Tribolium castaneum: one gene and its partners. The main gene of each other region encodes a partner of the protein of the gene in region 2 in a complex. Links are inferred from orthologs where the notes say so. Each region holds a gene or a part of one and is shown on either strand. Other genes may lie near its edges.

Region 1 (4,265 bases), on a different chromosome or scaffold from region 2:
CAAGTATATAGAAATTATCTCAAAAATAATTTGTTATCCAAAAAACCCCAAGATCTTTTAGTACTGAAATTGTTGGTAATACTTTCGAATTAAGTTTATACTAGAAGTTGAGGGTACTATCTTTCTGCAGAAATTAATCAGTTGGCATTTATCCGTATTTTTTTTAAGTTTCAAAAACTAGGTAGGTAAAATCATTATTAAAAATGCAAGGAAATATAACGAAATGTTTTATTAAGGAAACTCACCAAGGAAACATATTTTTATCTCAACATATTATGTGATGCAATTAGTATTATGATTTTTTTATAGACTTTTTTGGCATTTTTGTATTTAAGGCTCAATTATATATTTTGTAAAAATGAGTTTTTATTTCAGGACCTCACTAACAATCTCCAAAAAGATTACGAATATGTGGCGAATTACGTAGCTCAGGACAGTGTGCAAAAGGGGTTGGAAATGTATCTGCAATCATTGAAGCAGAAACAGAAATAAGGATATTATAAGTTGATATTCTTTTATATAATGAAGTGTAAAATTTATTATCCAAACCAAGAATATGTGTAAGTACTTTTGTAAAAATAAAGTATATTTTACTATCTTACTTATTCCAAGGCTATAACGTCATCCTTGAGATCAGGCGCGTATTCCTTATTCAAATCCTCAAACTCCTGCCTTTGGATTTCAAGAAAGTGGTTAATTTCCAGCACTTTCCCCCTGTTTCGCTTGATCTCATTCCTACAAGTTGTGGATATTTTTCGGGAAAAGTAAAGGCATAACTTACGTGTTTAAATCGTCGATTAAATCATTTAGCCAATCCTTGGCGTTCGAAATGAGAGTGTCTTCTCTCGCATCGATAATCTGCATGTGCATATCGTGACTTGTTGCCAACGCGTTGTGCAGAAGATCCTTATCTGCCATAAGCTGTAATCTCATTGAAATTATTAATAAAGCAAGTGCCGGAAGTTACCGGTTTAAGAACTGCGGGAACTTCGATTTCCTCATTCAAATTGGCATTTGTTTGAAACTTTGTGGCCAAATCGCCGATATTTTCAGCGTAGCTCACTTCCAGCTCTCTGATCTGCGTAAAGAAAGCCTGCGACGATTCAATGAAATTATTAACGAGTTCTGTGATGTTGTGTTCGAAAGTTTGGTTGACTTCTTCCATTTGTTCGTAAAGTTCCAGTTCCAGTTTCATTAGCGCTTTCCAAACTTCGTGCAACATCTCGTCGTACTCCACCACGAAGACGTCGCATTTGTCGATAAACTCGTCGTAATTTATTTCGTTTGAGTTCAGCTGGTTTTGCACGTTTTTGATTTTGAGGAACAGTATTGCCTTCTTCTCCAGGAAGATCTCCATGTGTTTCTACGGACGAAATTTGGGGCTATAAGTAAATTCGAAAGGGGGCGTACAATGCTTTCGTCTTGATTGTCCTTATTTGCGTCTTCGACGCATTTTAAGAACTGGTCCTGTTCGGTTTTGCGCAGGATGTACTGTTGTTGCCCATTTTCGAATATTTGTTTACACAGTTCGATGAAGTTCTCCTCGTACTCGTCGTAGAATTCTTGCGCGTCTTCGCCGATTTTCATCAAGTTCATGCCGTCGGTGTCGTTGGCAAATAAAGAGTCGAACAAATGGCGAGTGTTTAAATACTCCACGAAACTAGAGGCGTGAAGTTCGGCATCGGCCAACTCTTGTTCCTTTATCGCAGTGATTTCCCGTTCCTTCTCCTCTTTCTCCAACAATGCTCGCAGTTTTGCACTAAAAAACTCTCCTACTGATGTTCACTTAAACAATTTTAGCTAGAAACCTGAAAGTTTCGTGTCCAAGTTCCCGTTCCGACTCGTATATTAATTTATATTCGTAGTAAACGAGTTGTGGCAGAAAAACTGCAATAAATAAACGAAAATCTTCATCCTCGGCACAGGGATTCCCCACTAGATTTAACGATTTTAAATTGCCGAATCGTCGCAAATACAGAATCTATAAAATATTTGTGTATTCTAGAACACAATTATTTTTCGTAATACATTGTCCAAGTCGTCAATTTTGTTTCTTCCAATGCTAAAAACTGTTAATTTTGTTAAAGTGTCCATGTTCTCCAAAACCGTGATTTCGTTATCATACAGACTCAGCTTTTCAAGGTTGCGAAGCTCGTCTAAATTTTCGATTTTAGCTATTTTATTGAATGATAAATTTAGTTCAGTTAAGTTCACCAGACTTTCCAAATTTTCGATTTTTTCCAGTAAATTATTGTTGAGATTTAATTTCGTTAAAGATGTCAGCACCCACAAGTGGTCAATTCTTAAGATATCTACGGATAGGGACACAGAAAGTCGGGTTTAAATTTTACAAGAATTGTTACTCAGAAATTCTAAGCGAATCTCGGTGACGTCTTCAAGGGGGATTTTTTCGATCTCCGCCAAGCGACCCGCTTCACCCTTGGGGCCCTGGTCTTTGATACATTTCTCCAGAAGGGCATTGTCTATTACTTTTGGCTCTTTCAATTTACAAGGATTCATTTTTACAAATTTTCATTAGGCACACTAAATCGATACAAATACCTTTTCAAGCATTCTTGAAATTATTGATGTCACAATGACTGTTGTTTAAGTACCTTATTGTTGCTATGGACTTGAGAAATCATGAATCTTTGAGTTTGCCGAGCTTGTGCTCTTGAGTTTTATTATTTTTCATTGTGAAATTATATCAATTACAAAAAACTCTTTACAGGTAGATTATAACGTCTAAGTAGATAAAAATAGCCCAGAGAGGGTTTTTGGAGTAAAAAAATCTTTACAATTAAGAGTTTGCGAAATTGTAGTCGAGGCGAAGCCGAGTGCTGATACCGCAACTTATAAAAAAATACTCAAAATTGTAAAATTACGTTGTATTCTGTATCAAAGAAGAAATGACAACAGCACAGTTATAAATGCAGAAATGCTCGCTTTGGTAGTATATTACGTGAAAGAACGGAAAAATAACATAAAAAAAGAACTTTAAATTGTGAACCGCACCTCGTATAATTTTTGATCACGTGACACATGTCTGACGTCTTTTTATTCAGAAGTTTACACAACTTGGGAATGAAAAGATCAATAAATTAGAAAAACAGTGACTAACACACCAACAAGCGCGTCATGCAGTTTATTTGTTTGAAATAAAATTGTTATTTTCGTCGGAAAATTTTAGATTTAGGAGCGGAAGTATTGCGCAAGCGCCGCAGTGTTTTCTTGTTTTGACAAGTGACAGTGACAGAAGTCAAGTGACAACAAGAAAGTGCAATCGTGAAATTTAATTTAGAAATAAAAAATGTCTTTTTTTGGAACTGCATTAGGAGGAAATCCCTTTTCGACGCCCGTAGGATCGCGAATTGGTGAGTCCCGCTTGGCATTGCCGGATTTCATTTAATTTTTTTCCGTTGTTAAAATCGATTTAATAAAACGTAAATAGAACTAGAAACCGGTGCTGGCACTGTATTTTATTGTTTAGATTACATTGTTTATCACTTTTGTTGGCTGATTCACCTATATCTATTCATCAGACTGTTTAATTACTGTTTCTGGTAATAATTCTAAGGTACTTCGTCATCGCTGTCTGTGTAGGTGTAGGTTTTTGCATTTACATTTTGTTTGTCACAACTACAGCGTGGTTTTTATTTCGTACCAAATTTGTTTATAATTATTTACCAATAGGTGTGACTTATACTACTCTACATAGGCTATCAACTGAGACGTTTTATGCTTTCTTCACGGGGTCCTATGGAAATTTGTCTATTTAAACCTATTATTAAAAAAATACTTTGCGTTATCGGTACAATAATCTCTTATGTATGTCACAACAGTTAGGAATAATACCGCTGTAGTACCCACATTCTTTGATAATTTTATGGGCAAAACGTAGTTGAAATATTTTTCATCGTTGCTTTAAAATAAATATACATATGTATTTATGCTAATTCAGATCAGTTAATTAATTGGAACTATTTTTGCGCGTTCTTAATCACCTTAGAATAAAAATAACAATATAAATTCTTTTCTATCGCCTATTTACATGAATAATTCAAGTGTAAAATAGAGCAACAAGAATTTTCGAAAATGACCAATAACATAGTAATAATAAGTCCATAAACAATCATTCAACAATGTGTTGTGAGACATTGGTAAATATTTAAGTAATGAACCAGACATATTTTTTTCAGATAAAATTTTAAAATGTTTGGCTAACAAAAAACAACGTCCTCTCCAAAACTTTTCTTTACAATTAT
Region 2 (3,281 bases):
GTACATTTCTGCTTCGAAAGATTTTCGATCGTTTTTGATCATCGACATCGACGGTAATATCTTCAAAATGGATATTATCGATTCCTGACGATTGTACTTAGTGATATATTGAAAATTGCTCAAAGGTGATAACGTGTAGTGTACATATTATTTTTTATTTCGTTTTTTTGTGTTAAAAATAGTTTTGTATGTTGTCAAAATCGTAGAAATGTTTTAAAATTAGGTGACATTTTCAGCTTTGGTGTGCAATTCTTACGTTGTCATTGTTTATTGTGACTGTTTTTTATTCATACTTATTTTTTATATTCTTTATTTACCTACACTATTTTGGATCGTATATAATTTGTATATAATTTTGTGTCAAGATTCCTAAGAACAAGACTTATTACCATCTATTCTAATTAATTAGTAAAAAAATGTTTCAATATTTTGTATGAAAGGTACATGTATACATTTTGTTCATTTCTAACGCCAATCGTAGTGGAATTAATTACTTTCTTCAGTGTAAATAAATTCCAGTATAGGTGTTACCGTAATGTAGAATCCGTCTGTTGCACAGATTATTTTTCTAGTCTCCTATTTATGTTACATGTGCTATATATTATAAATAAAAACGCAGACATAAAAACGTGTTTTATTCCAAAACACTTCCACTCTCCGCAGTTTTTTGTGTGGACAGAGTGCTGTGAGAAGTTTGTTCCTTTTGTCCCGTTGAAATTTCTTCTTGGACTTGGTTTACTTCTTCCAAACCTAGTCTGTTACGTTTCAAGTATTGTTTGATTTGATGATATTGGTTAGAAGTAATGTCTGTTTCCCGAATATCTAGCCATTCCAAAGTCCTGTTAACAGCCATACCTTCAACAAGAGCCTGAAAATAATACAATTAATGCATCTAGCAGTGATTTATCGACGATAATTAAATGCATCACGGGACCTACTTTGGTAATTGAAGAGCGCAATGTTATTTACTTTAGGCGTCCTTTGTATTCCAAGGGTCGCCTCCAATATTTGTATTTAATTTGACCTAATTGCAGACCTAATTTCAATTAATGCGAGGGTGTGTGAAGCCACCAACTAATAACTTGTAGAACTTGAGTCAGTGGACAATTTAAATTAGTTACACTATCTACATCATATTTTTAAGTGTTGCGAATTGTTGGTTGCATACAAAAACTTTTTTCTTGAATACAATGGAATCTTTATTATCTGGCAGCCAATAAATCATTTGTATTAACTATTTCAAAATTATAAAAACGTCAGCGTTGCATTTTCTTTCAAAGTTAGCTGTTATAGATTATTCATGCACTTCAGGAAAATAATAGCTAATGTAATTTTTACTTTCAATGAAAGGTCTAATCATTAATAACAATTTTACAACTTTATAAAATGCGACGTTTAATTTTTAATTGCTTTTTGTGTTTGAAAATATCTTGTTCTTGAACAGTTAGCACTAACTTTTTTCAAATTACTTATTTTTTTACTTATTTGTCTATCATCGACTTAAATTTTGTGAAAATAACACAACTTACATTACCCCCTTCTTCATCAAACCAATTATTGCTGACATCCAGCCGTTTGAGCGACTTGTTCAGGAGCAACATTTGCCCCGTCCTTATCGGAGCATCATCATCAAACTGGCAACCGGCCATCGAAAATTCCTCGAGTTTGGTCCCTCTGACCAAAGCTCTCATTATTCCCATAGCCCCACCTTCTCCTAATGGATTCAATTTTAAATTTAATTTCTCTAACGAGCACTCGGGTTCCAACAACGCAAAACCTAAACCTTCGCATCCTAACTGGCCAATCTTATTATCACAGAGATTCAGAGACCGTAATTTCGGATGGACACATAATACTTTAGCTATGCAAAGCGCTCCTTGATCCCCGATTAAACAATGAGACAAGTCTAATTCTTCGAGTGTTTCATTTTTGATTAAGCCATGCATGAGGACACGCACGTGTTGGTCCTCTAATCTGCTTCTGTGGATTCGCAAGATACGGAGCGATTTTAAGTAGTGGAGGGATTTGCCCAAGCGTTGACAATCACCCACTGATAATTTAAACATGTGCCAGGTGAACTTGTCACCGACTGCGTTCATACCTTTGGAGAAGCGAATGGAACAAGTGTAAACGAATAGGGAGGCAATTTTTGACATAGTTCGTTATTTTATCAAAAAATTCCAATTTTTGACCTCTTGTAACTGTAAATCACAATTTATGTGAAAATTAAAAAATGGTGGATGCGCCGGGCGTGTTCTAATAATATTTTCGTCAAACGGAAATTATTTCTACGTTTTGATAAGCATTTTTATTTTTATTTTATTTTTAACCCAGTGTTTAAGTATGATTATAACTTTAAAACTCTAGAATTTTTATGTTTAATCCAAGTTTAACCTCTGTGGCGTGGAATTTCCAACAGACATAAAGCACAATAACTTTTATTTCGTAAACTTGAAGTCATGCTATGTAAGAAACAATGTATTAATAAAGATTGTTTATCTGCTCGTGTAATAAGTCCACTTGTGACTTAACCACTCTTGGACTTAACCTTTTTACTCGTAGATAAAGAAAACTTTTTATCGACTCGTATAATTGGATAAACCAATTTATGTAAAAATTCAAAAATGGTGGATGCGCTGGACGAGTCCTAATAATATTTTCATTAACAGAAATTAATTCTACGCTCTGCCAAGCATTTTAATTTTAATTTTATTTTATTTTTAATCAAGTGTTCAAATTTAATTATAACTTTAACAATAAAGATTTTTACGTCTAATCTGAGTTTAACTTCTATGGAGATGAGATTTCCAATAAACCTAAAACACAATAACTTTTACTTCGTAAACTTGAAGTTATGCTGTGGAAAAAACAATGTATTAATAAAGATTGTTCATCTGCTCGTGTAATAATTCCACTCGTGACTTAACCACTCTTGAACTTAATCTTTTTACTCGTATATAAAAAAAAACTTTTTATTAACTCGTTTAATAAGTAACGATAAACCAATTTACGTGAAAACTAAAAAATGGTGGATGCGCCGGACGAGTCCAAATAATATTTTCGTTAACAGAAATTAATTCTACGTTGTGCCAAGCATTTTTATTTTTATTTTATTTTATTTTTAACCTAGTGTTTAAGTATGATTATAACTTTAAAACTCTAGAATTTTTACGTTTAATTCAAGTTTCACCTCTGTGGCGTGGAATTTCCAACAAACATAAAGCACAATAACTTTTATTTCGTAAACTTGAAGTCTTGCTATGTAAGAAACAATGTATTAA
Region 3 (2,902 bases), on a different chromosome or scaffold from region 2:
CTACAAACGGTTTCAAAAAAGAACTCGAGTAGGATCTCAAGAAAAATCTAGAGAAGAGTACAAAAACAATGCTAAAGAATAAAAATATATTGCGAGAGAAAAATTCTATACATAACTGTAGGACAATTTTGAAAAGATGCAGAGTGCAATCTAGGAGAGGTTTTGGATAAAAAAAATTAAAAGAGTTTATAAAATAATTTTGAGTAGTATAGAAAATAATTTCTAAAGAAGTATATGGAGATGGATTTATAAAATAATTTAAAAAGTTCCAATTTTAGGTTTAGAAACGATTTTTTAAAATATTTGAGACTTATTTTAAAAACAATCTAAAAAAGAGTAGACAAACAAATAATGCCAAAAAATAATTTAGAAAAATTCGAAACGAAAGTACAAAGGAATTTTCAAACAAAGCAGACCTAATAATTGTCTTAAAAAACGTGAAAAATTCGTGAATTTATACAATAATCGAAAGAAGAATCTATATTTCAGATCTAGAATTAGGCTTATTTAGGAAAAAAAGAAAAGAAAAGAATTAGAAAAGTATATGAAAAAAAAATCCAGAGAAGACTACAGAATTAATAAAAATTATTTGGAAAAATTGTAAAGGAAACTACAGAAGAATTTATAACCGAATCTAAAGATGTAACCTAAAGAAGATTATAACCTAATAAGATTATTTCAAGAGAAAAATTCTATACGAAACTGTAGAAGAATTTTGGAAAGATACAGAGTAGAATCTAGAAGAAAATTTGGATAAAAATATTTGAAAAAAAGTGTATAAAATAATTTTGATTAGAGTCTAGAAAATAATTCTAAAGACGTATCTACAGATACCTAGAGTCTCCTCTACAAAAAAATTTAGAAGAATATTATGAACAATGTAAAAAAAAGTACATAAATAAAATAATAATACAGACTAAAAAATAATTTGGAAGAATTTTAAACGACGCAGACAAGAATCTTAAATTTGGATAATGTCAAAAAAATGTAAAAGTGTTAATAAAACAATTTTGGATTTGAAAGAAGAATCTAGAGAAGATGGATTTATAAAATAATCTAAAGAAGAGTACAGAAAGCTAAAGAATAATCTGGAAGAAATTTAAACGAAACTAAAGGAAAATCTTGAAAAACTGCAAAGTAGAATCTACTACAGAGTGACTATTAAAGACTGTGACAAAAAAACCTATTAGTAACACTGAATTATTGGCCTTCATGGTGGCTTGTTATATTAAGATTTCAAATTTGTCACCAACCTGACAAGAATCGCAATTTTTGAATAATCACCTGGTAAAGAGAATTTGAATAATATTTGTGTATTTATTTTATTTACACTGTTTTTTGTCATTCGTAATTTGTGCAACATAAATATGGCATTTTTACTTTTTAATGTTATTTTTAATTAAGAGTAATTATTATTATTGGTGATTTTTACCAAAAAAATATGCAAGTGGTACAACTGCCAACACTTCAAATCACCTAGCAACCAAAACTGTCGCTAGGAGACCGTCAACTGTTTAAACCTTAACGATTATCAAAATTGTTAAAATGTTGGAAGACGAAGAAGAAGAAATTCATGGTTTTTGTCAAAAACTCGTCTTTTTCCAAAAAACCAACACGTTTTTTTAGTGCCTATTAATAATGACTTGGAGCGCAGAATTGCCGACGCGTTTGAAGTTTTCGACCACGCAGGTAACAAAACAGTCGATGTTCGAGAAGTGGCAACGATCGTACGTGCCTTGGGTTGTTGCCCCACTGAGGCAGAAATTCAGGAAATTTTGATGGCTGTTGAAAACCCCGAATCTCCCGGAAGTGTACACTTGTCTAATTTTTTACCCCACATGTCGCAAATCATCACTGAACACAAGTATCACCAAAATTTAATCGCCAAAAAACGAAATTTTCATTCGCAGGTATCAGCCTGCAAGTCCCGCGCAACTTTTAGAAGCGTTCCAAGTGCTAGATAATGAAGGTAAAGGTTTTTTAACAAAGGAACGCATTTCCACGCTTATGACGCAAGATGGTGAGCCCTTTACCCAAGACGAACTCGACGAAATGCTGGAAATAGCCATAGACCCACACACTCAAACTGTGCCTTATGAATATTACATCAATCAGCTAATGGTACCTAATTTTTATTTTTGCAAATATTGCACTACGTTATTTTTAATAGCACGAACCTGAAGGAGAGAAAGATATCTATAAGTTAGCTGATCGTGTTCTTGAGGAAAATCCACCTCCACCTCCTCCTCCTCCACCTCGAAGGCTGTCCGAGTTCCTGCATGATTTGTCCGTTCCTGAATTTTAAATTATAAAACACTCCAAACTTCCACCTTGTTTATTATTTAATCTTCTTGCTTAATTTACAATTTTGCGAAAACTGTATCTTTCTGTTTGGTAGCTTGGGCTACTGTTGCTGTTGTGAAGTCTTCACTTTGAAGCATTAGCTGATTCCATAAGGCCTGTAAGTAATGTGTTATTAATTTATTATTTTTTGCAGCTGGATTAAGAAACAAGCACTAATGGGGGCGCCATTGAAAAATAAGCTTAATTTATCTTCTTGTTATTTAATTAAGGCAAGTTTCCTTTTATTAGGTGGTTTCAGTGAACATTAATAAAGAATAAAGAAATATTTCTGTGTTGTTACTGATAAATAGTTACTCCTTCTGTTCGAAAATACGGTAGGTATAACTTTTAAAGGCCGGTAAGTAATTACCAGTGTGAGGAAATTTTAGGGGGTGGCCATGAGGCCACAACCGATCAGCCGACTCGTCGTAGCGCTCTCGCGATGTTCATATTTATCGATGAAATGGTCCGCTACAGCGTGTGCATTGGCGTAGTTTACTTGGGGTTTATACAATTAATGTTACCGGTCGCTTACAAAAATCTAATTAAAACATAAATA

The links.
Region 1: dynein regulatory complex subunit 5 (region 2) and dynein regulatory complex subunit 3 share a complex: the UniProt entries of both Homo sapiens proteins name them as parts of the nexin-dynein regulatory complex. The link is inferred for Tribolium castaneum from reciprocal best matches to the Homo sapiens genes DRC5 and DRC3.
Region 3: dynein regulatory complex subunit 5 (region 2) and dynein regulatory complex protein 8 share a complex: the UniProt entries of both Homo sapiens proteins name them as parts of the nexin-dynein regulatory complex. The link is inferred for Tribolium castaneum from reciprocal best matches to the Homo sapiens genes DRC5 and DRC8.

What each region holds. Positions count from the first base shown.
Region 1 is NC_087394.1:30,246,605-30,250,869, reverse strand, and holds dynein regulatory complex subunit 3, read right to left. Parts: upstream 2,896-4,265; 5' UTR 2,521-2,895; coding exon 2,364-2,520; intron 2,313-2,363; coding exon 2,029-2,312; intron 1,982-2,028; coding exon 1,809-1,981; intron 1,760-1,808; coding exon 1,411-1,759; intron 1,364-1,410; coding exon 968-1,363; exon of another isoform or gene 922-967; coding exon 782-921; exon of another isoform or gene 736-781; coding exon 603-735; 3' UTR 511-602; downstream 1-510. Other genes in the region: enoyl-CoA delta isomerase 1, mitochondrial, read left to right, coding at 376-492; TOM1-like protein 2, read left to right, coding at 3,311-3,374. UniProt on the Homo sapiens protein: Component of the nexin-dynein regulatory complex (N-DRC) a key regulator of ciliary/flagellar motility which maintains the alignment and integrity of the distal axoneme and regulates microtubule sliding in motile axonemes.
Region 2 is NC_087397.1:8,819,953-8,823,233, reverse strand, and holds the end of dynein regulatory complex subunit 5, read right to left. Parts: intron 2,102-3,281; coding exon 1,530-2,101; intron 869-1,529; coding exon 635-868; 3' UTR 623-634; downstream 1-622. Other genes in the region: Dark (apoptotic protease-activating factor 1), read left to right, coding at 1-88. UniProt on the Homo sapiens protein: Component of the nexin-dynein regulatory complex (N-DRC) a key regulator of ciliary/flagellar motility which maintains the alignment and integrity of the distal axoneme and regulates microtubule sliding in motile axonemes.
Region 3 is NC_087394.1:7,333,022-7,335,923, forward strand, and holds dynein regulatory complex protein 8, read left to right. Parts: upstream 1-1,410; 5' UTR 1,411-1,545; coding exon 1,546-1,576; intron 1,577-1,626; coding exon 1,627-1,864; intron 1,865-1,910; coding exon 1,911-2,121; intron 2,122-2,170; coding exon 2,171-2,305; 3' UTR 2,306-2,327; downstream 2,328-2,902. Other genes in the region: delta(3,5)-Delta(2,4)-dienoyl-CoA isomerase, mitochondrial, read right to left, coding at 2,361-2,459. UniProt on the Homo sapiens protein: Component of the nexin-dynein regulatory complex (N-DRC), a key regulator of ciliary/flagellar motility which maintains the alignment and integrity of the distal axoneme and regulates microtubule sliding in motile axonemes.